Linked DNA regions of Oryzias latipes. The protein of the gene in region 2 interacts with the protein of the main gene of each other region in a pairwise test. Links are inferred from orthologs where the notes say so. Each region holds a gene or a part of one and is shown on either strand. Other genes may lie near its edges.

Region 1 (15,780 bases), on a different chromosome or scaffold from region 2:
GGGGCTGAATGTCTTTACATTAATATATTTAATCATTTGCTTCAATTCATATTTAATTATCTCATAAAGCAAGTGACATCACACAGATTTTTGAAGTAAAACTATGAAAACATAGTTCAGTCTACTCCAACAGGAACATATAATTTAATTTAAGCAATCAATTAATACATGTTTAGTTTTTTTACTTATTGTTTTGTGATTTCAATTTCACGTTTGTCTCGTATGTTCCTCTCCAGGTACGTGTCGTGTTGTGTTGAGTCGACTTATAAACCAAGACAATCCGACATTTACAAGTTTAATGCAGAACAATGTTTAATTGTTACATTTGTAGAGAAATCCTGCTGAAGGGTGATTCAATAAAAAGTAAGTTTTATATATTTGAGTGACCAGTCACCTCTGTTGATTCAGTTTGTTTCAATATGCAAGAAAAGCAAAAGGTAATCTGGGTCAAAGTCAAGTCTGTTGAACATTTATTTCTTTTTGAAACAGATTCAATTATTCAAAACGTCATGGCCATTGACCACTGACAATTCAGTACATCTTATCCTTCATTGAAAGAAAGTAGGGACCTTTTTTAGCAATCACCTGACACGATGGCTGTGTGCCGCAGAGCAAAGGTGTGATGAAATTATTTTCAATCATGTCGAGTAAAAAATATTTCAAATTTATAATTAATAAAAGAGAAAAAAGCTTTTTGTGAACAATGTAATGGTTACAAAGCATCATCTATCACATCACTAACTGTTTTTGACATTTGAAGTCCCTAATAAATCATCCTAAAGTACATTTCTACCCAAAGAAAACAAAAATTCAGAAAGAAATGTAAAAAAAATAAAAAAAATAAAAAAGGGGAAATCAGGGCTGAGCACCGCAAAGCTACTGGACGTCCTCTTTTGTCCTGGTGACCAGTTCCAGGCTCCTGACATCGCCCATTCACATCCTCAGCAGTGAGAAAATCAGAAGCTGCTCTTCCTTGTAGGCCAGAAAATAAAAAATGTTTAAGTCCGCTCTATTGGATTGTCAGCAGCAGAGCAGCATTGTGCTTAACTGGAGCCCTGTGACGGTGTGTAGAGGGTTAAGTCAAATATTAGCTCGAGTCTTAAGACGTTGATGATAATATATTCAGCTCAACTAAGGGGGAAAAAAAAAACTCCTTACTTTTAAGACGTTTTACACCTTAATCTATCACTGTTTTCATGTATCGTTTAAAAACTGCATATATAAAGGGTACAATAACATAGTATATTTTGATATTACATATTAGGACCACAGAAATAACATATTTGAACGTGTTATGTGTTAGAGCCGGCTGTTCAAACACATGAAAATATGTTTTTATTGCTGTCTAAATCTTGCACTGCTATACAGTAAAAGATTTGCATATTCTGAGTAAAACACCAAGTACTTACTGATAACGATTCATGATGTAAACGTTGGTCCACTTCAGCATTGGCGAGTCGGAGACTATAGCTAAAGCGGATCGCGGATTGGCATAAACCGTGGGCGTGGGGAAAAAAAACAACTTCCTTCAGTCCTGCCTCTTTTCACCAGATTTGGGACGTCCCAGATGGGCGGAGTTAACTCCAGCCAGCTGCGCCCGCGAGCTGGCAATTTAGGCTTCAAGCAGGGGACTGTAGAAGTCAAAGGGTGACGTCAGAGATGCTCCGTCCAGTCATATGTACGTCTACGGTTCAGAGTCAGACCCTAAACTGCACGGTCGGATCAGACGGGCCGTTTTAGCAAGAGTGGAGTTGACTACGTAGTTAAGCATAAATGACTGACGCATAACTCGCCTGCAGTGAAAATGGGGAAATAAATTCTGAGTCTCAATAAATAAATAAAAATAAAATAATTTTTAGATAATAATTTTCTACCACATATCAGTCAATCGTTACATTATAAGAAGATAAAATAAACAGTACATGAAAATGTAAAAAAATTAAATAAATTCAAATCCTGCCCTGGTCCCGCATGTTCCTGTTATGGGTCATTAAAATGTCTATCTGGCATTTTTGTTAAACTAAAATGGACATCAAATGAGGTCATTGTTGGACATAAAATAGTGGACACATTGTAGGCCTATAGACATCCAGGACTGGGTTTTTGACAGACAGACAGAAGCAAAACTGCTGGACCTGCAGCTCCGTTTGACGTCTGATAAAAATGTCAATCCGACGTTCAAATGGTGAACTCACATTGACGTTGAAGAAAGTTCGTTATTAGACGCATGTTATTAGAATGTATGTATGCGAGAGTGAATGTATGTGGATGAAAGTGAATATATATGTTTGTGTGGTCTGTGAGTGGTTCAGAATGAAATACGTTTTGTACGGCCCCTCATACTGGTGACTGTGATCCCAGCATAAACTTCACTGGTGCGAGTACTCACCAGTCACTCAACTGCAGAATTTGTGCAATACTTGTGCAACATCAACCCATTGTAAAAATAAATCAAATAAAAAAATAACAAAAACAGTTTGTGCCTTCAACTGAGATACAAGATGAGAAGGATGTCAAAAGACCACGTTGGATGAGGAAGGATGCTTGGATCAGAGAGTATGAGATGGCCGAATCCGCTCAAACTGGCTGCTTTTAACCCTTTAATTACCGCAGATGTCGCCAGAGACAACTAAATAGCGTACGCTCTTTGACCTACTGTAACTCCTCAACCTTCACCCCAATTCCCACAACAACAATTCCCACAACAACAGCGGCTTTTCATATTGTTTGCACCGCTAGGCAACACTTTGCGACAGGGTCAGCTGATCTACGTTGATCGCGTTAACACATCCATAAGGTGTAGCATATCAGCGCAAGAGCAAGTTCCTCTGCTTCAGAATTCACTGGAATTACCCAAATTGCGTAAACAGTTGACGGGTTACAGTCGTCGAGAGGATGTAAACACTGGAGCTAAAGCTTTGATTTTAAAGGGTTTACAAATCTGTGGTACTGTAGACAGCGGTCTTTAGTAGCACAAAAGCTCGAAATATGTTCATTTTAAACCTTAAAAAATACCTTAACTTACAAAGCTTAATGGTTTTTTTCCCCTTACATATAAACTGAAGTTTAAAAGGGAAAATGTTCGGATTCCTTCCAACAGAAACACTTTCTGCGCCCCAAACTCAAAGCCATGCGTCCCCCATTCGTCCTCACCTGACAGATCCTGGAGCGATTTTGCATTTTGGGGATAATCTTCATCGTCACGACTCCATTTGTTTCTTTCTGCGTAAAGAAGCATTGAATTAAAGATTTTCTATTAAGCAGACAAAAAATATCCAAACAGGTGACCAGATTTGAAATTTACTAGAATCTTTTGGAGCTGGTCTACGCTTTGGTTCGCAACACTGTTGCCATTAATTTCTGCGATTTCGTCTCCTTCGTGTAGAGACCCTGCAGGAAAAACGCAAAAAGGGCAAATCAGCTCCTGTCATGAGCGCGCTTTCATTCTTGGGAATCCTCTGGTTTTCCCACAATACCTTGCTTGTGGATCATCCCTCCGTGCAGTATTCTGGCCACGGTGCACCGCTGTTTGTCGTTGAATTTCAGAGTGACGCCCTGCACACAAACACCACACCATCAGCAGCTCCACTCCACACCCACTCTGTGTCTGCAGAGGAGGTCAAATACCATCGGCTCTGAGGCGCTTTTCTCAAAAACCACTTCCTTCATCCTGGTCAGCTCCGTGCCGTTCGTGTGTCCAGCGCAACCGTTGGTGTAAACCTCGGCCCCCTTGCTCTCAAAGGTCTGCATCGCTGCCTGTACGGAGAGAAAAGGGAGGAAAAAGACCCCTCCCTAGTTAATCTGGACAGATCATTAATCTCTGCAATATTTCTAATAAGCGCAGAGAGTTTCTGCTGGCGTGTGCCAACAGCTGTGCTTTATTTGCAGCTTCCATGTCGGTTGGCGGTTGAAAATTAACCCAACGTTTCTCACGCTTTATTAACCACGTGCAGTCATCTGATCCAACAGGTTCATGTGGTCATGGAGACCATCAGCAGGACCTACGCAGGGCGAAAGCAGCCACCTAAGAAAGACCGAGCCTCCTCGGAAAATCTCACAGCAGTGTTCAGACGTTTTGGGAACAGAAATACGGACACTTGTATTTCTGCGACTTCCTCTGAATCAGAGGAAAGCCTTTAAATGAGACCAAAGAGCTGCCTTAGTGTTCTTTGATAAGACAGGGCTTAGGAGTGGGAATGAGTGGAATGCGGTGGATATGAAAGAGTTTATAAATGAATCACCAAAATTGTCAAATAACCTGCATCAGCACATCAGCTTCTGCATTAAAATGACACATCAGCGCTGCCTCAGCAAAAAGCCGTTATCTGCCCTCCAGCTCCAACGCAATAATAAACCGATAAACATCACCTATAAAGTCAGCTGTCCAGGTTGGGGGTGGGGGGGGTGTTATTTTTTTGTAAACTTTTCATGAAACTTGAAATTTCCCTGCGACAGATGTCAGAGTTTTGTACAAGCACAAGAGGAGATGCACCCCTGAAAGGAGGAAGTCAGCCCCTAAACATGTATTACGGAATAAGAGATTTATTTTTGTGAGTCCATAAGTTTGTCCACAAGAGCTGTAATTTATACGAGTCCAGTCCAAATCACAGGAAAAGACGGATGTTTATCCACTTCAGAAGAGTGGAGGTTTCCCTCCTGACAACCGTTAAGCAGAGGAGAATGGTTGGATAAGAGAAATCTGCTTGACTGATTAACTCACGCTGTTTGGTTTCATCAGGGAGCCAAGAGAACTCTACAGACAACAGCACTCTTTGATTTATTCTATTTAGAGGACTGATAGGTTTGATGAACAGTTTGACGTGTACTGCCCTGCAGGGACGAGTGGAAGCAGGAAGTCATTTGAGAGGAGGAAATCGGATTTCTGGATGGGAAAAACAAAGTACTAAACAGGGTTCCTAATGACGCCCAGAGGAGAAAAAAGCTACATTAAGAGAGATGCACACCTCTACCTGACATTAGAAAAAAAAGGACTTATGTGATTTACAAAATAAAATTCGAAATTTTTGATTTTTTTTCAGACCAATCAGATCTCTCTCTTATTGTAGGAAATAAAATAGTAGTCGTCTTATGTGCGTCAGTAAGGAATCTTTCAGAACAGGATAGTTAGGAAAAAAATTGGTATAAATGAGAAGAAAATGTTAAGTCAAGTGGGTTTGACATTGCAATCATAAGGGTGGACCAAACTGTCACTAGTCATCATTCAGTTACGATACAGGGGTCCCTCGTCATATCACGCTTCACCTCTTGCAGTGCAATTTTGGATGTTGTTTTTTTTACAACAAGCTGTGTTCTGCATCCTGATTGGCTATAGACCTCGTCAATCAGTCTCCTCTGTGACGTGTCTCCTGTATAAATCTACACAAATCTCTTATCGGGAGAAGATTTCTGTTGTTATTATTTAAAACCGGGTGTGTTTTTCTATGAAGGTTGGAACTTTGAGTGTTTAAACAACAGAGGAAAGTGGGAAAATATTCATGCCTGAGAAAAGTGTATAAAGTGTGTATTGAGGGGTTTTACAGCCGCAAATCATCTGTACATTTTACCTATTGTGGGTTATTTTTAGAACATAACCCCTATGATAAACAAGGAAACATTGTAATTTTGACACATTTGGTTTAGAAAATGTTGAGTTGGTGTTCTCACTGCAGTCATGAGGGTGAACCAAACTGTCACCAATCATCACTCAGTTACTATAAAATCTCACATATATGCACGTTTAGATCATGTTTACGTGACATTTTTAAAAGCTTTTGCCGTTGGATTTGTGTGTTTCTGTTTTTCGGCAATGAAATGTTAACGTTTGCCCGTTCTTCTCCTCACCGATTCCTTGCACAGCCCATCTGCATTTCACACTGAAGTGAACCACACCAGGATCCACTTGCAACTCAACTTCTTTGCTCTGAAGTACAAGTTAGCTTTCCCACTTTTAAGGCAAGCAAGCAATCCCAGCATGCTCTGCTCTGGACCAAACAGTCCATTCAGAAAGCATGACCCACGGTGGGGGTGTTGTGGTGTCCTCTCTATTTAGAACTGAGTCAATAAGAAATCAAGATAACCCGAGTCAAAAGAGTCCAAATTCTCAGAACAAACTTGGCCTTAAGGCTTGTTGATGTTCAACGGCAACATTCCATCTTCTACTGATCTGTCTGGTGATGCCCAGCCTTCTTTTTTTTTTTTGGAGTCACGAGCGCTTCATAAGTAACATTTAAAACTCCCAAAACACTCCAAATAAAATATATTTATTAATATATTTATTGTGTCTGTTTTACAAAGAAAACCTCAGATCCAAGAGACACCTTAGATCTCAGTCAGCTGGAGTAACCAGATGTGACTTGAAAGTATGTTTAGGACTAGTTAAGACCTAAACAGTCTCCATTTAAGTCTATGTAGGTCAAAGGACAGTTGAAGCCTGTAGTGCAAGTGAAGATCAGAGGATCAGAGCTCAAGGCTGCAAAACAAACCTCAGATGGAGCCTGGGGAGGCACATCAGACTAACTTGTAACTTAAATTTTGAGCCACTATACAAAAAGAAAAAACAAGAACAACAACAACATGATTGTGTCTTTTACAGACTAAAGTAGGATAAACTGATTTGCAATCAGTGCTACCTCACAAGTGTGACTGCAACTTCAGGTTACACACTTGCAAACTGCTGATATCAGGGGAAGTGCTTTCCGTCTTTTCTGTCCCTAGAACAGTCTGAATGCTGACTTTTCAAAAGCAGAGATTTGCAGAACAAAAGAAAAGTTGCCCTCGTCATGAAAAATCCTGCTTTAATTTGTAGCCGATGTACCTTTTTAATCCTTTTTGTGGAACTTTCCACCAGATTTAAAGTTCAAAACAGATTTTTTTTTTCTAATCCCACCAACAGATTAGGAAACAAGCAAATCCTGATGAGGGAAAAACTGCAGATGCGGCTCCACAGATCAATGTGACTCAAACGTCCCGAGGATTCGTGATCAACTTTGAGAAGGGGATCATTTCTCCCCACAACACCACCCTGTTGGACCACGTTCACATGTGAGGAAAAGACGAAGTGAAATTGTCAACTCAGTGTCTGGGAAGCGCCCACGTCATTTTTTTGAGACTGCAAAAAGCTGACCTGCACCAGTTTGCGCAACGGAACTTCTCAGGGGGTCTATTTTTATATCCTGGGATGTTGCGCACAATTTTGTAGCCCGTTTTATCTGCTTCCCGGAAGCACACGAGCAAGCCATGAAAAACGAAAACAAACACGGCGGAAACCCGACAGAAAGCTCACCTTGTCCACCTTCGGTTTGTTCTGAAGGAGCTGCTCCAGGTAGAGATCAGAAAGGGCTGTCCGGATGCTGGCCACCGGCTCCTGTATCAGCACGGGCTCGGTTTTATTGTATTTTAACGTCATCGCGCACAGAGTTAGCAAGAAGAAAACAACTGTGAACCCGGTCTGCCTCCCCCCCCCCCCGTTCAAGGTCCGCCAGATACTTGATGAAACAGCTGATAACGAGTCTCCACGATGACACCAGTCACTCCTGGAGATGAAAGTCCAAAGTTTGGATCGTTAGCAAGTGAAGAACATGAGATATGTACCGCGGGGCACCGCTGACAAAGCATGAAAACATGAGACTGGTCAGGAGGGGCGGGGCTATGACCCATTCAAGCTATGACGCGAACTCGGACATTTCTGCATTCCGACGCTGTAGTACTAAATAAAATCTTTACACGCTCTCGAAAATTTTCAATGTTTACGGATTCCCCCCTTTATGTTATTATTGTGTTTCTTATGTTTCCTTCCTGCAAATTAATCAAGGATATTTTACACATATTTTTTGTTGTTGTGCTTTTTGTTTTTTCAAAACTTTCAACAAAAACAACAAAAATTCGAGTTATTTAATTAGAATCAATTTGCGGTAATGTTAAGAGCACATATTACAATATGTAGCCTTGTTTTTTTCTTAACAAAACAACAACTGCCCCATCCCGGATTTTAAGAAATGCTCTGAAAAAAAAGTATGAGACTTTTGCTGTCGATGCATTTTCAAAATCTACGGTTCAAATTACGTTAAAGGAAAGGGGCCGTTTGACCAACTCCCTAATTTAAAAACTGTTCGGGGAACCTTGAACGCAACATTACCGCAGCATTGTCAGAGGGGGCTGTTCAATCCGCAGACAGGGAAGCAAAACAACCCAGTCACCCGCACTATCACCCGAGAGTGTGCGTGGGAGGATTTGAATTTACGAAGAAATGATTTAACAATAATTTCAAAAATTGTAGTCAATAAAATGTGAATTTTGTGAAGTTGTGCCCAAATCAGGTTTTTTATTTTATTTTTGGACACGTGAATGGAACAAAATGTTCAAAAGACTGATTGACGACATATCCTGAGTTAAATGACAGTTTTCTTTAACCCTTGTGCTATCCTGTTGGGTCCAGATGACCCGGCCCTTACATTGACGTGCTATCCCTAGCTTGACACAGGTGAATAAAAGTGGAGAGGATGTCATGTAATCCATGGACACCAGAGAAGATCACAAATCACTGAAGAAAAAAGGTTCAGAGCACTGTCTAGTGGGTCTAGATGACCCAACTCCCAATGTTAAAGTGCCTAGGATACCACAAGGGAAGACCTGAAGTTACTGCAAAGAAAGGAGGACATGAATTGTCCAGGTGTTAAATGCATCATTTATGATATCCCATTCAGCCCTACAGGGTAGCCCATATGGCCCGGAAGTAATGAAAGCTATCCAAAAGCTTGATAGAAGGTGTGAATAGAAGGAAATAATCCCATCACTTCAGATATTTCGAAGCCCTGCTCAATTGATTGTCATGACTAAATGTTTAGCTTCCTCTTCACAACTTGATAGCTGAATTGATTTACATTCAAACACTTTTTTGCTAAGAACATTTTACTATTATGTGTAAAGATGTGACTAAAACTCTTTCTATAGTAGGTTTTCTACAGAGGATGGGGGGAAAAGAGAGGATGATGAGCAATTCAGAATTTTCCTTCTCAGAAATCTTTAGAATTGCTCATTACCTTTTCAACCCCCCCCCCCCTTCCAATCTGTAGTTTTCCGAGTAAATAAATCATTTTTCGTTCCATGACTTTTCAAATCCAACAAAACAAAGATATTTGGGATTTAATCTGATTGTAGGGTTTGCCTCCTCAGAAAGTGTTTTATAATTTTGTTAGTCTGAAGCATTGGATGTGTGTTACCATTTTTAAAGATTGACAAGCTATTAAACTGTGAGGATATTTTGTAATACCCTTCCTATCCTTGTTAAGATGGGGGGAGAAAAAAAAATCATAAATCAGCATTAGTGTCTAGTGCTTGTCTGTCAAAATGATTTAATGTTGGGTCCAGCCCCACTGAACGGTTTCTTCTGTCAACGTTAAATTGGCAGCCCGACATTTCATATTCACCGGCAGCTATGTAACCAAACAGGTTAAACGAAATGCAAATATTGATTGCTGAATATTGTGACTAGTCTTACGGACCGAAAAGGCAAGAAACCAAGGCAGAAACCTAAAACTTTAATATCCTTAATAAAACTTTATCCGTCTTCTTAACCCTATATCCCTTTCGAGGTGACAAGGTTGCTGGAGCCTGTCCCAGAAACTGATGGGCAAAGCTGGGGTACACCCTGAACAGGTCGCCAGTCGGTCGCAGGGCACACTATCACTCGCACATGAACACATAGGGACATTTTAGAGGAACCAATTAACCAATGAAGCATGTTTGGACTGTGGGAGGAAGCCGGGGTAAGAGAAAAAAACCCACTCATGCATGGGAAGAACACGCAAACTGCACACAGAAAGGTCACAGCTGGGATTTGAACCAGGGCCTTCTCGCTGTGAGGCAAAAACCACAAGTCTTAAAACTTCACCGCACTGCTTTTTGCTAAGGTGAGTGCAATGCATTTGATACAGGGAGGATATTTAATAGTGATGAGTAACTTCAATGTGTAAACTAAAAACAGAACGGGTGATATACAGAAAAAAACTACAACACAATAATATGTCAGTGTGCGAAAAAGTGTTCAGGCATTGTGTGTATGACCGAATGGAGTTCAGCAAAGAAACAGCTGTGGAGGAAAATTCTTTTTTTTTTTTTTGCTCTGGAGGCTCATATAGCCCCTCCCAGACAGCAGGAGGTATAGAGCAGGCATGTCCAAAGTCCAGTCGGTGTTCCCACTGGAACTGCAGGCTCCTGCAATAAAATCAATGATTAGCGGCTTCCAGCACTTTTTAAAAGTTGTTCATGGTTTCTTGAATATGTATCATTTTATATGAACCCAGAGTTATTTTATTATTAGAATATTTCTGCATTTGAATTCTGTTTTTTTTTTAAATCAGAAATTCTAAGTAATTTTGGTAAAATTGTGTGGATATATTTCTGTTTATGTGACAAAATAAAAAGTATCCCATTGCAAAAAAAAATATATATATATATATTAATTAAATGGTTTATTTGCATTGAATGTTATTATAATGGCTTAAAAAATGCATGCTGAATGGTTTGATAGACCATCACACACTTTATCTTTTTGTTTGGACCCCGCTGGTATATGGAGCTTATTGGGAGCGTGATAGAGCTGTTTTATAATTTTGCGTGTCATGGTGAGTCAATGCTTACTGTAAATGTTCTCTTGAGTATAAGTGGAATTCCTGAGATGCATTGGTTTTCTCCACCCTCTGCAGAGATTTCTGGACTGAAACAGTGCAGTTCCCGTGCCTGACAGAATGTTCTCAGTACTGCAGCAACAGAAGTTCATCCGGATCTTTGAGGATATATCATTCTTCTTTAAGGTGGTTCTTTGAGGTGTTTTTACCAAATTCCTCCTTCAGGAAGGTATAATAACAAAAATTCCAATTAGATGCATTGATGAAAATGCATGTTCCTAAAGCAATCAAATTTTGGTTTTATTCTTTTTTGTTGTTTCTATTTCTAAGATAATGCAAAGATAAACATTAGACTAACAAAAATATTAAAATGGTAAATGGTGTGTAGCCGACTTTTATAGCACATTACCACCTTCCTTGGTGGCCCACAGTGCTTTACAGTCACAGTCCCATTTACCCACACACACATATTAACACACTGATGGCGGCTCCGCTGCAGAACAATGTTGCCAACCTATAACCACCAGGAGCAATGTGGGGTTCAATGTCTTGCCCAAGGACCCTTCGACACATGGGTGGGCAAGGCAGGAACCGTACTTTCAATCTTCTGATAAGAGGTCGACCGCTCAACCCCTGAGATCAAAATCAATTTCTTTAAGAAGTCTCACATAATAGGACAGCAACCTTTGAGGATGCCTCTGATCTTTATTACCAGTTGGAACAAAAATATATTTTATGAGTATAAATGTACACATCGCTTATATTTAACCAAAAACCTTTGACTAAAACTACCCAACAAGAGAGTATGTACAGTAGTAGTGTAAAATAAATATACAAAAATAAATTTGAGAATAAATCGTAAGATTATGCTTCAAAAAGTTGTACTTTTACAAGGAAAAAGTTGTGCTTTTTAAAAAAAATTAAATGTTGTTCACCTTTCAGCATATTGCTCAGCTTTTACTTAGTCTCACAGGTGGTTTGGTAGAGATTTCTATGTACAATGCCCTTCCCTGCAGTTCATCAAGACTCTTGTAACTACATAGTTGGGTAGTGGTTAACAGGTCTTGCCCAAGGACCCACACTGGATGAAGCTAATCTTGCTCTGTGGGAATTGAAACCTGGTTTCCACTCACACACTTAACCAACTGAGCCCTTCAATGACTTCGTTTTGTGAAAATAAAAGCATCTTTTAATATATTTCAACAAAGAAAATCAAACATTTCCTGTTTAATTTCTGTTGCAATTTAGATGAATAACATGGATATCCCAATGCTCCAGAATTTTACTGGATCTGTTTTTCCTTTGTAAATGAACTTTATTTTAATAAATTGTGACTTTTCAAAGACAAAATTCACTATGTTTATTATGGCCAACTGTTGACATACAATTTGAGGAAATTATCATAATATATTTATCTATATATTTTTTTCTTATATGCTGGACCTAATACTTCGTCATAATATCCGAATATAACAGAAGTCAACTATTTGGTATTTTTTTTAGTGCTCCAGCCGGAAACTGGAACAAAGGAACAACGCATGCGTCAACTCTTCTAAGCCGTTTATAATAAACATCAAATCCAGGTACAGATTGAGGCAACAGATGAGATCCATTGTTCATGTAATTATTAACCATCCACTTTCTCGTTAAACGAAGATATTTAGGGAGATAAAGCCGTCCGTAAATTTTACACTTGGGTTGGAACATACGCTAAAGCGGAGAGCTGTCGGTCTGTTGCACGACTTGCCGCCTAGAATTCGAATGTATTAGTTTACTGATATTTGGTTTGATTTATCGATCCAAATAGTTTTGGGATGTTTAACAGAACACTGAGGGCTGCGGTGGGTCACGCTCGGCGGCTGCCCGCCCTCTCGGCCACGCGGCTGCAGTGGAGACACCGGGTTCTGCAGGTCCGCGCGTGCGCCGACGCTCGCGCTGCAAGTTTGCGTGTCCTCGACGACTGCCTCGGTGAGTGAGTTGGGGGTTTCCACACACCGCTTCTGCTCCGCCAGAAACGCTCTCACTCCAAAAACGCGTCACGTCCACAGAACTCAAGTATGGAGACACGCCGATGCGTTTTAACTACGTGTGGCTGCGGGACCACTGCCGCTCCGCGAGCTCCTACAACCCCGCCACCAACCAGAGGAGCCTGGACACCGCGGAGATAGACCTGCGCGTGCGCCCAGAAAGCAGCCGGATCGAGGAAGGGCATGTCGTCCTGACCTGTGAGTACAGCAGGAGATCCAGCATTTAAAGGAACGAAGAAGTAAACAAAAGAACAAATAACATTCTTTCTCGTGGCACTAGCACTTGAGGGTAAAAAAAAGTTTTTTATGTCCCTTTTCAGGCACCGTACTTACGGGCTCCGTACAAAATAAAACAAAAAGACCATCATTCAGATGGAGCCATGACTCTGAATTCACAAATTTTCACCAAATAATAATTAAACTGATCCAGTGTGTATGAAAACTATTATTACTGCTAAAATGTAGTTTTTTTTTCTAATGCAAAAACTTTGGTTGATTAAATTTGTTTGCTGCAATGGGGCCTATTTTTTGCATGTTTGGTTTTATTAACCACATGTGCCTGAACATCAACCACTACTAGCAGTACCTGAGTGAGCTGTGGTCTTTGCCCTGTCCTGTGAGGATGCTTTTATTGTTTGAAGATTCTCGCTGTTGTCTCATTATGTCACCATAAAAGTTCACATTCTAGCTCAGTTTATGCGTACAGAACATTGTCCTGGACATTGTACATGTTAAAGGATAGGCCCGTGTAATAAAAACAGACTAAAAGGATTAAAGCTATTTTACAACATGCAATATGAACTCATATAATACGATCTTCTACACTTCTTGGTTTTTCTTTCCCGTTTTAATTTGTTAAACAAAAACTTCCCTATGCAGGTAGCATCTATGTTCAGAACATTATGATATAATTTATTCGTCATAGCCGTTCAAAACTGTTTTAGGTAGAAGGAGAAAAATCCATTAAAAATTATATTAAATAAACATAAATAATTGTCAGCGATACCCAGATCTAGAAGAAAATATAAAAGAAAAGGTTAAGAAAAAAGTTAAAATCATTTCAATATCGTGGTCCATTTGCTTTCATTAGTGTCATAGAATTGGTTGGTTAAAAAAACAAAAGAGTTGAATGGAAAATAACCCTAAATCATTTATTAAATAATTGTTATTATTAAAATATAACAGATTTAAAGATGGATTAAAGCAGAACATCAAAACTGGAACAAGTATCAGAAAACAAAAGTGACAAGAAGGATCTGACAAAGAGCAACAAAAAATATTTGAATGGTATAGAGTCTACCTTCTCTTTTGCCTCCTTTAAAGTCCCACTTAAATAAAAATAGTGTCTTTAACATGTTCTTGTAGCCTTTTCTTTAAATGATGGAGGACATATATAAAGAAAATTGAGATTACAATCGCATTTCTGAGAATGTCTTTATTCAAATCCTTTTCTATCAGGAGTGGATGAGAAAATAATATTTGAAAAAGCTCGTAGTTAAGTCTTGAGGTTGAGTCATAGCAACTGGACCTACATCTATTTCACCGTTGAAACGTTTCGCTGCTCATCCAAGTGGCTTCATCAAAGGAATGATGGGAAATGAGTCGTGGCTTACTCCCTGCCAATAGTCCCGCCCACAATTTAAAGGTGAATTTCAGATGAACTGCTGCTCTGCAGAAACGGATCTAGAAAACAGCATAGGTTTTTAAAACATTTTTGGCTAAAAATGGCATCATCAAATTGAAAAGATGTCGGGGAATGCTTCGAAAATGGATCAAAAGATGATGGAAGTGGGACTTTAAATGTGTAGTTGTGTTTCTCCACAGATGTTTTTTTTTTTTTGTCCCTCCCTAAAGCTACAGAATAAAAAACCCAGCATCTTCTCAGAGCAGGTGCAATCCACCTCCCTGTTCCCTCTTTAGCTCCTCATCCTCCAACTTTTCTCTCCGATGGAGTAGACACTTACAGCACAGTGTGCAGCTCTCAGGAGATGCCTACTTTCGTTTTCATAGGACAGGTAAAACACCCCACGGTGTCCAGGTGTGCCAAAAGCAAACAGAAATCACACACCTGCAGCCTTCCTATTCAGCGCTGCTTATCCTTACTAAAGCAGTTTTTCTGGGATTTCTTTGCTCTCACGGTGTCTGGCTCCGTCCCGCTGTCAGTGTGCACACGCAAGAGAGTTGCGCTGTGTGTTACATAAAGTGACCCCCCCCCCAGGGGCTAGTGATGATGCACATGCTTCTGCAGGCTTACACTCAAGTGTGTCTCCTCGTGTTAGTGGAGCGCAGTCAAGGTCAGCTGGGTTTCTATGAGTCTCTGCATTCTGCAGGCAAAATACCTGATTTTTAGTGCCTTAAACATAATTCCTTACCGTAAATATTTGCCTTCAGATTATAGATTATACATGCAGCAAGTTAGTCATTTATTTTTTTCAAATCCCAAGATTTTATAGCCTTTTTGGACAGATTCTAATGCCTAGAAGAGGCGGGGAATGACTCATAGAATATACTTCATATGATGTCTTCAGATTCCGAATTATATGAAGGGAAATTTGTGACACCACATTGAGAACAAAAGTCACAGTTTTGAGATCAAAATGTCCTCATTTGCAATCATAATGTTCAGTTTTAAAAAGCAAACTTTCAAAGTATCAAATGAAAATATTAAACATCTGCTTTCAAAACCCATTTTTTTTTGCTTTCACGACACAAATGTTTTCAGATACGTCGTCTCACATCTCGCTTTGTCCCTGTCTTTGATTTTGCGTTCACATCTTTTCATCACCTTCTTCGCCACTGGACTGTCGTATCGGGTAGCGATACGACAGTCCAGTGGCGAAGATATTGTGCTAGGCCTGCACAATATACCGCAAATTTATCGTTATCGCAATATCAAGCTGTGCAATATGCATATCGCGAAAGACAGCAAATTTGCAATAAATGGTTACCTTAGATGTGGCCAAACAATCTTATGGCAGCTTGAAGTGTTTAATGGATTGAAAGAATCCCTTTGACCAATCAGATGGACCCCTTCACGTTGTTAACTAATCGGATGGCGCCCTATTATGTTGTATGTTCGCCTCCTATGTCAACAAGGGTCATTTGTAGTATAATTTTTAAGCTGTTGT
Region 2 (15,566 bases):
ATGTTAAAGTGCCTAGGATAGCACAAGGGTTACATGTGTTTCAGCTACTTGGATTAATAAACACACTCAGGCTCATGGGCCTTGAGTTCTCTTTTTTCTTAGATTAATTACCCTATTATTTTGTTTTATTGCTTCAATTTGCAAATAAAATAAACTAGAATGTTATATCAGTTTTGAAGGATTGTCACTTCAGACTGTTTCCCTCTAGATTAAAAAAAGAAAGTAACTTAAAATGTAATATAGAAGTCAAGTAATACCTTACAATCCTGAAACAGCAGTACTGTAAAGTACAGGATTACTTTGGTAAGTAATTTGTAAATTAGGAAGGAATACTGCCACCTCTTCCCAGCTGATACGATCTTTTATGATCATGTTTTAGATGTTTTTTTAAAATAATTGCTTTCCCTAAGAGTGTTCACAAGATAGTGACGCATCAAAGAAGCAATATTCACAAAAGAAAATCCACAGTTCAGGTTTCTTGAAGATTTTATTTTCCAAAAGAAAATATTTTTTTTGGCTTCCAAAATTGTTTTTTCTTCTCTGACGAGATCGTCGCGACCCTGAACACTTATGCGAGGCCTTCATGACCTAGTCCACCAACAGCTTGCTCCTGACAGCAGGGAACAACTCGAAGAATCCCTGCAGGTGGAGAAAATTTACATGGAAAATAAAAAAAAAATGGTCTGCAGAGTTCAGAGAGATTCAAGCTCTCATAAAAAGTATATTAGTATTATTTCAGACTTGATGGAAGCTCGTCAGGTCAATTTCACTTTGTTATATCAGAGACACTAACATTTTTTTTAAAGTTTGCAAACTCATTAAATAAGAAAGTAAAACACAAACCTTTTTTTTTTTTTAAAAAGCTGCATAATATCCCCCCCCCCCTTACCAAGAGGGAAAAACAACCCTGCAAAATACTGTAGAGGCTCAAAATTTAAGTTTTCTCTTTGTTGTTTTAAAAAAAAATCTTAGTCCCTCAGTTACTTTAATTTCAAAGCAAAACTTGAGTTGTTTCTCTGTGATTTGGTGAGAGTAGCACTTACCTTGAAGAGGGTGGTGCTTTGCAGCACGCTGGAGGTGCAGCACATCTCCCTGATGGAGTGCATGGAAAGTTGGGGGCCGCCAATGTCCACCACAGGGATGCCGAGTCGAGCGGCCAGGATGGGTCCGATGGTGGTTCCACAAGGACTGTCGTTACGGACCATCACATCCTGCAGCCAAAGGGAAAGCGAGAAGTCTGAAAGCTGGTATCTGTTAGAAGGGGGGGCTCTAGTGGTCATTCAGGGAAGTGTCGATTGTAGAAAGATTGAATCTGGACTTTAATCCATCCCAATCACAAAATATATATATATTTAAAAAAAAACATTACAGTAAATATAAAAAGGGTTAAAAAATCTTTGAATTAATTTTTTGGCAAGAAAAAAAAGTAGCAAAACTGTTGTGGAAAAAAAAGACAAAGCTTTTCAAATTTGTCAGTGACCACAAATTACCAAAAAATGCTATGAAACAGAACAAAAAAGACAATAAAAAACACACAAAACAGCTAAAAACTTTGCTTTTAGAAAGAAGAAACAAGATTTTTTAAAAAGTATTGCTTTTCAGAAGAAATTAAATTTCAAATTAAAGGATAAAGTTCTTTAATCTACAAACAAACTGTTTTTAGATAGTAAAGTAAAAAGCCTGTTTTACATTTTTAACAGAAGCTAAACAAATTACAATACAAAGTTTTTAAACCATTTACATCTCTTTGAATAAAAAAAAAACAATATTTTCAGTAATAAACATTTCTCTTAGAATTGTACCAAAGACATACAACCTATTTCTGCCAAAATACCTGCAGAGGCACGTCCACCTGGCTGGCCACTTCCCTGATAATGGCGGCGGTGACAGCTGTGGTGGCGTAGCGCTGATTGCTGTTAAACTTGATGACGGGGCCCTGAAGGAACGAAACTTGAGAACGTCAGGTAAACGCACGACTCGTTTTGTGTCATCATTTTTTTAAAGATCCAAGATTACCTTATGGAAAGACGGTCTATGGTTTTCTTCATGCTTCTCCCTGAAAGAAAAGATCCAAACTTAAGCTGCTAAAGGACATTAATAATTCAGTGGTTGTTGTTTTTTTTAGGTCAAACTGTTCAAACTCAGAAACCACTATAGGTTGAGGCTTCAGAAAAAGCCCTCCTTCAGGTTTCGGGGACTCACTGGTAGTTGGGGTGAACGGCGTGTGCCATGTCAGCGCTGATCATGAAGGACAGCGGCGCCGCCTGCTGAAAGGAGGTGAGGTTGGAAGAGGAGGCGGCGAGGCGACTGAGGATCAGCTCCGTCAGGTGTGAGTGGGCGCCCTGAGCGCTCTCTGAGCCCACCTGCAGCAAACATGACCACACAGACTCACAATGGCACAGTTCATCTGAACATGACAGAGAGGACGGATGGAACTCACCTCCTCGTTGTCGTAAAGAGCGATCATGCGAATGTTTGGGTCTTTGTTCAGAGAGTCTCCAGAACATGATTCCACGAGACCCTGAGGAGACGAAAAGAAGGAGGCTGCAGCAGGAGGAGGACTGACAAAACATCTGAAGTAGGTTGCAGTCGCTGAGTCTGACCTGCAGGGCGCAGTAGCAGCTGTGCAGGTTGTCTAGCCGGGGAGAGAAGATGAACTCCTCGTACACGCCTCCTAAAACCTGCAAAGACACCTCTCATCATGAGAAAACTACATAAAAAAGAATGTGTTAACAGTTCAATTAAAACATTTCAATGAAGTCTTGATTCATTTTTGAAAATCTTCTTTTTTTGATGAAGAGAAACAGTTTAAACTTATTTCTGTTGCAAAGAAAAGTGGCTTTACTCCTATTTGCAACACTTTCCGTTAGTAGGATACTTTCTGTTAGGAGACACTACGTTAGTAAAATACGTTACGTTAGTAGGACGCGTGTCAAACTCAAGGCCCGGGGGGTCAAATGTGGTCCTCCATGTCATTTTCTGTGGCCCGTGAGAGCATAAAAGTTTTTTATTTCTTAAAATAAAAAATTAAAATTGGTGTGTACTTATTCATATCTAGGGGGAATTGGACTTGAAATATTGGCTATCTAAACATTAGGACTTAAACACTGTCCATATAACATAACCTGACAGAATCAAATTTAATAAGATTTCTGTTAGAGTAACAAGCAAACATATGTTTTCTATGCAACTGTAATTGTCACTTTAAAAAGTTATAATAATGTAAAAGTTATATCTGGTACTTTGAGGACAGCCACTATGCTGATGTGGCCCTCGGTGAAAATGAGTTTGACACCCCTGCTTTAGTAGGACACGCGTGGTCAGTAGGACATGTTAAATTAAATTAGTAGATCACTGTTTGTTACTTATTGTTTGTTTGTTACTATTTGTTTCAAATGAATAGACAACGTTAGTGGGACACTATTTGTCGGAAGGACACTATACGTTGGTAGGATGCTTCAAATTAACAGGCAACGTTAGTAGGACACTCTTCATTAGAAGGAGACTCTTCGTTAGTAAGACACTATTTGTTAGTATAACACTATTTGTTAGTATAACACTACGGATAATAAGATAGTAGAACAGTATTTGTTACTAGGTCACTATGGCGGTAGGACGCTTTACATCAAGAGACACCATGTTAGTTCTACACTATTTGTTAGAAGGACACTATAGGTTAGTCGGATACTATATGTCGGTAGGACACTATACATTGGTAGGACACTTCACATTAAGAGATATTACATTAGTAGGATGCTGTTTGTTAATAGTAATAGGCTAGTGGGACAATTTACTTTAGAATACACTCTGTAAGTAATACACTTTCATCAGTAGTACACGTTAACTTAGGAGAACATTTTATGTTAGTAGGACGCTTAATGTTGGTAGGATGCTTAACGGACGCCCTATGTTGGTAGGACACAATACATTGATAGGACACTACATGTTGGGACACCTTGCGTTAGTAGGAAGCTTAACGTTGGTAGGACACTATGTTGGTAGCTTCAGAATCTGTTTGGATCATGATAACTGCTTTACACAGTTGAAGAGTTGTAGTAATTGTAAGAAAATCATCATTGGAGCTGAAGCTCCAGGGTTAAAGTTCTTTGTCTTGGGGGGGAACTCACCGCAGGATGAGTGTCAGTCAGACACAACTCAAAGTCCATCAGAGCTTCTGCATCAACACCCAGCTCTGAACACAGCACCTTCACAAGCGCTGGATGATGTTTCTCCGCCTGAAGGGCAAAGATGATGAGGAAAGCCTTTCAAAACCTTTTCACCACCCACGAGTATATCTAAACAGGTATTTTAGCTTCAGTCAAAGTGATACCTGTATGCAAACAAAACTGAAACAACAGAAAAGAGAAGTTAAGATCCAAGGGGCGCTTCTGAAGCAAACAAGTGAAAGCTGGTATAGTAAGTGCGAATGCTACATCACAGATGAGCAAAACATAAGCCGGCGCGTGTCTCCGATTTTACCGTGCTGGAGGGTGAAGAAATATCTGCAGAGGATGACGATCCTGTCTCAAGCTCCTCCTGGACAGCGGTGGCGAGGATGGGCACACTGACACACAAGTCCAAAGAGTAAAAAAAAAAACAAAAACAAAAAATGCTTCTAAATGCTTTAAGCCTGCTTCATTCTCACAGGTGATTTTCCTTGTTTGGACCGAAGGAATCATTGATGTCGCGCTGGAGGTGGATGGCCAGGTGGGGGATCCTGAGCAGAGGCCTGGAAACGTGAACCAGGTGATGGACAAGCTTCCCCCCAGTCTATGTGGACAGAAAGAAAAAAAAAATGTTGCGTCTAAATATCAGACTTTCAACCAAAAAAAAAAGGTAAATTTGCTTAAAGAGTAAACATTTTTTTCCCATCAGCAGAATCTGGTACCTTGACCATAACCCGCCCAGCGACAGTGAGATCTCGATCAAACCAAGTGTTCCAGATGCCGCCTCCATAACACTCCACCCCCACCTGCAGACAACCCTGCTTTGTCCTTTTTGATCTCGGCTTTACCTGAAACACAAAAATAAAATACAATTAAAAACTAACAGTGTATTCAAATTACACCCTTTTTAAAATGTCTAAAACATAGTTATTCACACACAAACAAAAATATTGCTTTTTTTATAACACTGAAAGAAACTGTCTTTTTTTTTAAGCTTCATGTGATGTTATGGTCTGAGTACCCCGTCATACTGAAACAAGAACCTTGCTTTGCATCATGTGGGGTTTCTTGTTCCACTGTCAGAGATTGATGGTGATACAACCGGACTGATCTGCGGTGTAAAAATGAAACCAGCAGGCTGACGAGAGGAGGAGGCGGACAGGCTCTCACCCTGAGGCAGGGGCTGTCTGTGTGCGCTCCAATCATAGAGAACCCATTTCCAGGCTTGTATTGTCCCCCCACAGCGAAGGCGATCAGGCTGGAATAGTTCCTGGTCACAAAGTACTGCAGAGAATAAAAAGAAATATCATCTCTTTTTTTGTTTTTTGTTTTTACAGTCCTAAAGTCAATCCCCTTTCAGGGTTTGAAAAAAAGGAACAGAAATCCACCCCACTTTGCTGGCTGGTTTGATGTGCCATTGCTCCGTCTCCTTAAGCTCGATAAATCCGGCCTCCCGGAGGCGCCTTTTGCATTCCTCAACCACTGCAGAGGGGAAGAATAGGCAAAACTATTTTAAGATTCAACTGCAAAGTGTTTAAAAGGCTCAACTTACTCTGTACCTGTAGAGTTTTTAATCAAGCTTCTTATAACCCCCGATTTTACGTCAATTTACCTGAATTTCTTCACTAATAAAGCTCAGATGCATACATGCTCAGATTGACTACTTCATTTTGTAAAGGGGTGTGTACAACAAACAGATAGAATATAATACCGTCTGTCAGATATTTCTGTTCAGATATCTGACAGAAATGTCTGACAGAGACAGGGTTCCTGAGAAATTGTGATTAAAAAAATGACACAATATATGGTTGATCTTATCTCAAGTTCAAAGTCACCCATCAATCTTCCCTATATTACCACCAGCTCATGCGTATTCACACTGTGACATATTAGTGTTTTTAAATCTTTAATTATGTATAATTACCGCTATTAAACCTTAAGCTGTTTATTTAGTGTTGCCGAATTTAAGAACCCATAATTTAAATTAGAATTTAACCTCACGAAATGTGACCATATTGCATTCAAACACACGATTGAGGAACTGCATGTCTCTACTAGTCAAATACTGATTGAACAGAGTTTGGTTTGATGCTAACTCCAGCAGTCAATGCGTTAGTGAGGTTGTGTTTGTGTAAGTGTACCGTGATACGGAGACACTCCTCTGTTGACGAACTGCAGAAACTCCTTGGCGGCTGCCTGCACGGCCTCTTTGGAGCTCTTCATGATTGTAGACTGATGGGGAAACGGAAAGGAAAAGCTTAACCAGCTCAGCTGCTCAGCTCTGTTGCAACACTAAGCAAATCACATGGGACTATTCTAATTATAAAGCCTCCACCGACACGCTACGACAACACAATAGAAAACACTACGGATGAACATTTGACTGTCAGTAAAACATAAATAAAGTTGGAAAATTCGTTTTTTCCGACCTTTTGTCCGATAAAGGAAACACCGGCGTTCAGCTAATCTTACCTATCTCTTCTTCTCCTTGAGTATTATTCTAAAGGTCAAAGTTAACGCGATTCTCAACAAGAGAACCACACGTTCAGTCGGAGGTTCAAAACCAACCACTGTGTGAGGTGCTTACCTGCATTAACTGCACGTTCAAAGTCTAGTCTTTGGCTGCAGCGAGACAGGACTGAGTTAGCTACACATTAGCCAAGCTGACAGCAGCAAAGAGAGTAGCCCTTTCCATCTTTGAACCGTGAGCGTCATCAAGCGGCCAGGATGTGCAATGACAGTTTTAAAAGACCTCGCACTGTTATCTCAACGTTCCAATTATTTGCCACAATGTCAGTGTCAGCTTCTGCAATTAATTTGTTTTGTGCAATTCTTTTTTCATGTATCATGTATTTTATTTTATTTTTTGTGTATGTGTATTACTGAGTGGCGGAACCACAGAAAGCTTTTTGTTTTACCACAATGTAATTAAAGAAGTTCCATATGGTGGGAGATCAGTTGGTAAAGAGGAGGTCCAGCACAAGGGGAATCAGGGTTCAATACCCAGGGGCGCAGTGAGCTTCATCCAGTAAATCCTTAGGCAGCACACTTTGTGTCATTGCCTAATTATGTAGCTACAAGGGGGCCCAAGTCTTTTTTTTTTTTTTTTTTTTTCTTTTTTAACTTGTCCTGTCCAACAGCTAGGCAGACAGATGAGAGCTGAGGGCCTCTTGGGTTGGACATATTTTACTTTAACAAGAGAGGTTATTAATCTTCAGACAAACCAAAGGTATGTCTGAATAAACCCCTTTTGTAATTGAGGCCAAACTTTATTAATTTCAAACATGTCTGAAAATCTTTGGTGTTGGACCGGACGGAAAAGGAAAGAGGGGAAGAAGAGAGAGGGACGTTAGAGAGAGGGGGGGTAAGGGGTGATAATAGGAGGGGAAGGGGGATAAGACCATGAAGCAGCATAAAGCAGCAAGTTTACTGGTTGTTAATCATTATGGTAAGGTTCAAATGTAAAAAAAAAAAAACAAAAAAAAAAAAGGGCGGAGCCTGTCCACACACACACTCAAATGTTATAAACACACCTGTTAGTTGCAAAAATGTCCACCTGTCGACATGTACACAAAACAGATAGTGTTCACACGCATACTTATGCCTTAAAACCAACTAGTGTGAAATATTTCAGTCATTCAGTCTGTTGAGCTAACACCTGTGCTCAGGTGAGTGTTTATGTTCTTCTAAAATGGATGGTGGAACGTGAAAAGAAGGAGGGAGAGTGCCCAGCCATCCCCACCCCAAGACCCCCACCGCACCAGCAGCGGCAGCCGGAATCCCCCCAACGCCACACGGGAACCGGCAGGGAACAACCGCCGCCCGGGCGACCAAGCCCGCCACCCAGGCCAGGGCCAGCAGGGCCGCCGCAAGGCCCCCAGAGCCAGAGAGCAGGGAGGCACGGAGGGAAAGAGGGCGCCGCCCCAGCCCAACCAGGAGAGCAGCCCCCCCGCCGCGCCGGGAGAACCCAACGCAGGGCCCCACCGGAGAAGGACGCCCACAGCCCCAGACGAGCACCCCACCACCACCCAGGAGTTCCGGGCATCCCCCCGCCCCAACCCCAGGTACGAGCCAGGACCCCCCAAGGGAGACCCACTCCGCACTCCAGGCAGCCACCCGCCCGGCCCACGGTTGGTCCAGGGAGGAGCGAGGCAGGGGCCCGCCGCCCCCGCCCAGAAGGGGGGAACCCCGGGGAAAAAAGAGGGCCCACAAGGGGTGTTGTAAATATGGCCCGACCAGGCTCGGCCACAGTTGGAAATTTGGCGGGGCCCAGCACTCAGGAGCAAGGACCAGAACCCACCCCCCAGGGACACGAACACCCCCGGCTCAGATGTAATGTGAACCCCCCCACCGCGCGGAGAGAGCACCGCCGGGCCCAGGAAGCCGGCACCCCGGGGACACAGCCGCCGTTGCAAAGGGGCCCGTACCCCCCACCAGGGAAGAGGCAGGGGACAGATGGTCCTAGGTCCCACCTTCCTTGCAAAATGTGTGTGCGTGTATGTGTGTTTGAGAGAGTGTGTGTGTGCATGTGTGTGTGTTTATGTTGGGATGTATATATTGAGGGGGGAGGGGTGTGTGTACTAAGGGGGGTGCGGTTAAAATTGGCGGGTAGGGCACTAAGGGGACGTCTCCTGATTACTCACAGTGACGTCCCCTCACCCTCCCCACCAAGGGGCCCTAAATGTCTAAGGTGCGGTTAAAATTGGCGGGTAGGGTGCTAGGAGGACATCCGCTGCTTGCTGGCAGTGATGTCCAAGCACCCCCCCTACCAAGGGCCCTACATGTCTAAGGTGCAAATAAAACCGAAAGAGGGGGGGCCCACTCCATACGGCAACCACAGGAGGGGGGTCACTGCCTAGTAAACCCCCCCCCCCAAGGCTCATCGCAGGCTAAGCCCCCCACCCCCTCACCCTATTATGAGGTTATATGAGGAAGGGGGGAAGTTGGGGACAGATGATAGACTGTCCCCCGGTGGTCAAACAGCCGTCCCCCGCCCCCCCCCCAGCAAGGGGGCCAGGCCCACCCAGCCCCGGGGCCCCACCCCCGGAGGCGCAGACACCCCAGGCCCAGCACCACCACCCCCACACAGAGAGAGGGGAGCCAGAAAGCGCCGGCCCCCCCCGGAGCAAGCCCAGGCCCCCACCCCCAAACGCCGGCCCTAGAAGAGCTCTGGTCAGGCCTCGACGGGACCGAGGCAGCCAACCGGCCGGGGAAACCGCCGATGGCCTCAGCGGAGACCCCGACCCGTCAACCCCCCCTGCCCCGTACCAATAGTGCCCCCCCCCTCCCCGAAAATGCCCCCCCACAGGACAGGGCCGACAAGACCCCCACCCCACCCCACCCCCAGACCCCGCAGTCGAAGCGGATGACACCCAGAGCGACCGGGGGCCCCAAGAGGGTTGTCCCGTCCCGCCCCAGAGCCAGGGAAGGGCCGATCCCAGCCCCAGGTGTAGACGGGAAGCCCATCCAGCGCCGCTGGGCCCCCCCCCCGAGCAGCGCCCCCCGCCAACCCCCCCCAGCACAGGCAAAGGGACCACCCCCCCAAGCCAAGCCAGACCACCACCCCACCCCCCCACCACGCACCCCCACACCCAAGCCCAGAGGACCACGCAGCGCCCCAGGCCGCCCCACCCAGGCGCCGGACCCGACCCCCCGACCAACGGAGCCCCCACCCCCCCGGCCAGGCACCGGAGGCCCCGACCCCCACCCCGGCCCACGGCAGAAGGGCAAGGAGCAGCGACGACCATGCCCCCCCCACCCCCTAAGTCACGGAGTTAGCTATGGGAGACCAGAGAGACCGAATTCTTTCAAAGTTACTTGAACTTTGGGCTGACATTTTTTCCAAGCTGATATGATCAAGCAGCAGATTTCTGTGTTGACTTATATTTATATTTTTTTTGCTTTTCCAATTTATTAAAATAGTTTTTTTAGCAATGCAAAGAGTTATGAAAATGATAGATGCTAATCCTCCTTCTACATCGATGGCACTCATGTCACCAAGCACACAAAGTGACGGTGAAGCTGTGATTGAAACCTTAAGCCAGACTGATAGATCGGCACATACCTGCTGCCAGAGAGCCTGGACAGGCGTGCAGAACCATAGTGCATGCATGTAATTGTCGGGTAGATTACTGTCACAGTGCTGACAAATGTCTGAGTTACTGAGACCCATCTTGAACATCCTCTGTCCAGTGTAGTAAATTCTGTGAAGAGTTTTGAAATGGATTAGCTGCAGATTTGGATTTTTTGTCATTTTAAAGGTGTTTAGACAAAGTTCTGACCAAAAACTTTCATCTGTGCTGATGCTCAAATCCGCATCCCATTTTGTTGTCGGAAGTGAAATATTGTTATCTAAATTACATAAAAGTTTGTATATTTTGGAGAGAGTTTTATTCATTGAGAAATTGATCAGAGTGGTAACTACATCTGGTAGCTTTAAATCGTTGTCTCTGTATTTAAACTTTTTAGTAATAATTGATTTAAGTTGCTGATATTCCAAGAAGTTATATATTCCATGTTTGTCTTGAAGTTCCTGGGGAGTTATGAATCTTCTATTAATAATTATGTGCTCTAGTTGTTTTATGCCCCCTGCTTGCCAAGCTGGGAAGTGGATAATTTTTTTGTTTATGAGGATGTCTGGGTTGTTCCAGATGGGTGTCATTTTGCACGGTTGAATTGATGATTTTGATATTTTGAGAAATTCCCACCAGGCTGTTAAAGTGGCATTTATATTAATACTTTTGAAACAATCCTGTCTTTTAACTATTTGACTAATAAATGGAAGATCTGACAGGTTGATCTTTCCACATAACGCCTGTTCCAAGTCTAACCATGAGTTGGTTTCTGGATTATTTTTTAACCATTTTAAGATGTATTGTAATCTATTTGCAAGAAAGTAATTGTGGAAGTTAGGTAATTCTAATCCTCCACAGCTTTTTGCAGATTTTAAAGTTTTTAGACTAATTCTTGCAGGTTTATTGTTCCATAGAAAGCTTGATATGGATGAGTCTTGGACTCCCTGTGCCAGTCCCCAGCCCGGATAAAATACATAGTTGTGTCAGGAAACAGCATCCGGTGTGAAAATCTTTGTCAAACCATCTGTTCAAATGAGTGAAAGCTGATTCACTGACGTGACCCCAGAAGGGATAGGTGAACAACAGCGTATGCCAGGGGGATTGGGAAAAATAAAATGAACATTAACAATGTTGGATTAAAAGATTTTCTTCTTCTCTTATTGATGTATGTAATCTGTTAATGTAATTCGTCAAACATCTAATTTTGATTATTTGTGGATTAGTTTGACTGTGACTTTGTAATGTCATTTACATCGGAAGAATAAAGTCATCCATTGCAACAAACTAGTCCAGTTTCTTCAACCGCAAGAGCGATACAAATGATACACTAAAAATATATATATTGTACTGTGCTGCATTATGACTGTGATTTATTGAAAATGTAGTAAAAGGGAAAAAATAATTACATTGTCATTTTTAAATTCAATTAGTATGAATTTTGACATTTATGTGATAGTCCTACATAGTTTTATTTTTCAATTTCACTGATATTTCGGAAAATGTATGCTATTTGTCAAATTGGACAAGTTTCTGTGTCAAATAAGCTTCCTGATTAAATTACTTTTAATTTGTACAATCTTGATTAAAAACAGATTTTTTTGTTTTTTTTATTATGGAAAAATAAACCATTCAAATGACTTTTCTGTGTTTGAGGGGCAGGTCTCTTGATCATCTTATAGTTGAACCTCAGATCCACAAACAGTTTGGCTATCCCTTGTGCTATCCTAGGCACTTTAACATTGGGAGTGGGGTCATCTAGACCCACTAGACAGTGCTCTGAACATTTTTTCTTCAATGATTTGTGAACCTCACTGCTGTCCATGGATTACATGAAATCTTTCCACCTTTATCATGGTAGGGAGAACATGTCAATGTAAGGGTGGGGTCATCTAAGATATCACAAGGGTTATATTGAACAGTGGACCAGCTCTACACCCTCTTTAGGGTGCTGGAGGGTTCATGGGAGTTTAGTTATTCTGTTCATTTGTGTTTTGTAGATTGAAGAAACATCGGCCGTGTCTTCTATGGTGTCATATAAAGAGTTCTCTTGGAGCATGGTTATACCAACAGCATCTTGATTGGATAAAAGGTACCGGTAATGTGTTTACATTGATGGCACAACTCTTGATGTTTCTGCCATCAGGTAGTATAGAGGAGTGCGTTAATTTTTTTTCTGGAAATGATCAATGGTGTGTTCCTCCAACTCATCACTATGCTGAAAAATCCATAATGCAGGTAGTAAAACCGAAGAAAAACACACTTTTAGAGTACATGGGTTTCATTTGTTTTTAATAATACTGATCTGATCCTGCATCAGTCACACGGTTTAAAAATAACCTCTTTTATGTGATAAATGTGGAATTCGACAGTGTACTTAATTAAAAAAAAGGCCTGATTTTGAACCAAACAAAAAGGTTTAGATTTAAGATATTTTTTCCTCCTACTTAGCTGCTCAGTATTAAACAAGTCCAGGGGTTTAACAAATCAGAGTTTTCTGAAAACCAATGAACACATTGGTTTAGATAGAATTTAAACTTTTAATTGTTTCTAATGACATTTTAACAATAATGTTTAGTCTCTTAAAAACTACTGTTCCCTTTGAAAACCTACAACAAACTGAACTGTGTAAACATTTAGTAATGCAGGACTTAGACAGCAAAATAAAGTTTGCAGAAGTGGTGTACCACAGGGATCTGTTCAAGGAAATCAGTTTTTCTCAGACAACTTTTTTTCACAGATTGATGCCACTGATATCACAGTAAATGACAACATAATGAAATCCTTCATGCATAAGAAAAAAAAAGTTCTTATAAAGTTGCCTCATCCAAAACTAACTGAAAAACTGCAACATTGGGTGCTATATCCGCTTCTGATCTGGTTGAAAAAATATAATTCAGGGTTTTAAACTTTTTGTTTTTTTTAACCCATTCGTGATGTCTGCCACTGTTCTAAAAAACAAACAAAAATAAAACGTTTGCATGATTTGAAAAAGTAGTACAGATATTTGCATAACAAAATTTTCATAATTCCGAACATTTGTTTTGAAATAACTTGAGGCAAATTCCCATGAGTGAATAACACACAATGTGAAAAAATGTGAACCAATTAAACCTGAAGCAGACATAAGAACTTAAAAACTGATGCATCAACTCTTGAACAACAGTGTCAGAAAGCAAATGCAGCTTTTATTCTGGAAAGGAAAAAAAAAATAAAAAATGGGATAACCTTTTGACTTTGCATGATCACCAACAGGCACTGTTTCCAACTATTTTCTATCAAATAAGATGTAATTTTTCAGTACAAGTTTCTGCTGAAAATAACTTGTTTTGGTGGACATTATTAGTTTCAAATAAAATCTGCAAAAATTGGAGAACAGGAGGCTTTTTTTGTGCCTCAAACTTTTTGGGTGAAGTTCTCAGGAAAAACACCTTTAGCTGAAATGTTTTTCTTCTGCAACCAGTGCGACTCCTTCAGGCCCAACAGCCAGCCATCATCCTGCACACAGACACAACAGACACAGCCGCTATCAGTCTAAAATATTCAGACATATGAGAGGAGAAACTATTGATTATAATTTGGAAAAATCTACCAATATCAAAACATCTTTTTAAAACAATGCCAAAATCATTCGTTTATTGACATTTTTACAAGGATTTACAGACCTGTTCATCTGGGTTGTCAAAAGCCAGAACTAGAACTATGTCGCCAACGTTCAGCTCCAGTTCATCGCCATCTGTGGCAGTGTACTCATGTACTGCTTTTACCTGATAAATAAAAACCAAAATGGAACATATCAGTGCATTTACTGATTCATCTGCTTTTATTTTAGATCAGACATGACTAACTTTGTAGAGAAACCCTGGAGGAAGTTCACCATCTGAGCCATTGGCCACTGTACTCTGGAACAAAGAAAATGCACAGAAAAGTCCTGCTTTTTAACACAAACTTTGTAGAGAAAAAAAAGACCTAAAGAGTGACAAGTAAAGAAGAAAAGATCAGAAAATGAGATTTATGTTTTTTTTTTCTATTTGGGAAGACTTCTGGACCAGTTAAGACATGAATCAGGTTCCAGTTGGCCCCCTCTTCCAAAATTACCTCCTCATCCCCCCATTCACCCTGTCCCACATCATCATCATCCCAGCTGGGCTCTGTGTATGTCTGAGCCGCATAGTCTTGGTCATGGCTCCAGGCCTCCTCCGCCTCAGCTGCTTCCGCATCGTTCCAGCTGTGCTGAGGGCAACTCTGGTTGGTGGCGTCATTGGAATTCCAGTCACTTTGGGTTTCTTCTGTGCACTGGTCCACAACAGGCTGAGGAGTTGGCTCCGTGGCACTCTGCCCTTCCTATGTGGTTTGGGTTTGTGGGGCAATAGGAGGTTTGGAATCAAGCCAAAGTCCAGAAGGATGGAGGGAGGACAAGCAGGATAACAAAGGGGTGAAGGAAAGGTCAAAGGAATTTTGGGGTCATGATGGAAGATTGCACAGGGTTTTTAGAGGCCAAAGGAAGGAGGTTGAAGAGTTGGAGAGTTTGAGTCCACAGATGTAGAAATGAGTAAACTGAAACGCAGCGGTGGATTTCTAAAAAAAGGGCAGCTCTACAAAAACATAATGAACCCATGCTTACCCACAAATCCCACGAGGGCCCCTACCATGAAGCAGTGAGGACGAAACAAAAACGATTTAAACAATTTAAACCTTTTTGCTTTCTGTGGATGGGTTTGATTTGAAGAAAAACACCCTCAGAAACACCAGATGAGCAAAAGCCAAAATACAGGAACTCTGACATTCATGGACACAGGAGCTGACAAACTATAAAAGAGTTCCTTCATGGCCAGAAAGTGTTTACATCCATAAATGCACACTCATGCACACACAATGATTCTGTTTACATGCAAGTAAAAAATTTCAAGCAGTTTCCTTTAAATATGTCATTTTAAGCCACAGAACCTCACAATTAGAGCTACTTGATCCTTATTAGTGGTCTGATCACTCAATGATAGTTGTAGTCCATAGCAACAATACATTTCTTTCCTGTTGTGAGCTCATAAATATTTGTGGTAATTTTATTTTCTTTACATCAAAGGAAATTTTCAACGTTTTCATAGCTATGAGTGTTTTCACTTGCCATACCCTCATTATTTGCACAATAGCATTAAATTGTCAGTTTTTATCTGACAACAAAAACTTACAGTTTTAAGTGTTAAGTGGGTGAAGCATATTTTATCATCAGTTTTGATCATCCTCCAACATTAGACCCAGATACTCTCACCTCAGCCTCTTTTTCCTGAGTCCTAAACCTCTGACAACCATCGCATATCTCAAAAGGACC

Evidence for each region.
Region 1: the proteins of dnpep (region 2) and mpp1 interact in binary tests that used the Homo sapiens proteins (3 or more experiments, as listed by UniProt). The two-hybrid records come from large-scale screens. The link is inferred for Oryzias latipes from reciprocal best matches to the Homo sapiens genes DNPEP and MPP1.

Annotation. Positions count from the first base shown.
Region 1 is NC_019872.2:19,057,008-19,072,787, forward strand, and holds the start of mpp1 (55 kDa erythrocyte membrane protein), read right to left. Parts: upstream 7,640-15,780; 5' UTR 7,406-7,639; coding exon 7,283-7,405; intron 3,757-7,282; coding exon 3,628-3,756; intron 3,556-3,627; coding exon 3,477-3,555; intron 3,391-3,476; coding exon 3,305-3,390; intron 3,223-3,304; coding exon 3,154-3,222; intron 1-3,153. Other genes in the region: tmlhe (trimethyllysine dioxygenase, mitochondrial), read left to right, coding at 10,170-10,187, 12,129-12,208, 12,451-12,593, 12,674-12,850. UniProt on the Homo sapiens protein: Essential regulator of neutrophil polarity. Regulates neutrophil polarization by regulating AKT1 phosphorylation through a mechanism that is independent of PIK3CG activity.
Region 2 is NC_019860.2:11,514,266-11,529,831, reverse strand, and holds dnpep (aspartyl aminopeptidase), read right to left. Parts: upstream 6,886-15,566; 5' UTR 6,760-6,885; coding exon 6,754-6,759; exon of another isoform or gene 6,639-6,753; intron 6,618-6,638; exon of another isoform or gene 6,596-6,617; intron 6,399-6,595; coding exon 6,308-6,398; intron 5,649-6,307; coding exon 5,560-5,648; intron 5,451-5,559; coding exon 5,337-5,450; intron 5,015-5,336; coding exon 4,889-5,014; intron 4,771-4,888; coding exon 4,646-4,770; intron 4,565-4,645; coding exon 4,480-4,564; intron 4,236-4,479; coding exon 4,128-4,235; intron 2,682-4,127; coding exon 2,604-2,681; intron 2,522-2,603; coding exon 2,441-2,521; intron 2,364-2,440; coding exon 2,203-2,363; intron 2,057-2,202; coding exon 2,017-2,056; intron 1,937-2,016; coding exon 1,835-1,936; intron 1,212-1,834; coding exon 1,044-1,211; intron 640-1,043; coding exon 589-639; 3' UTR 469-588; downstream 1-468. Other genes in the region: myc box-dependent-interacting protein 1, read right to left, coding at 13,634-13,735, 13,903-14,004, 14,086-14,139, 14,336-14,581, 14,862-14,882.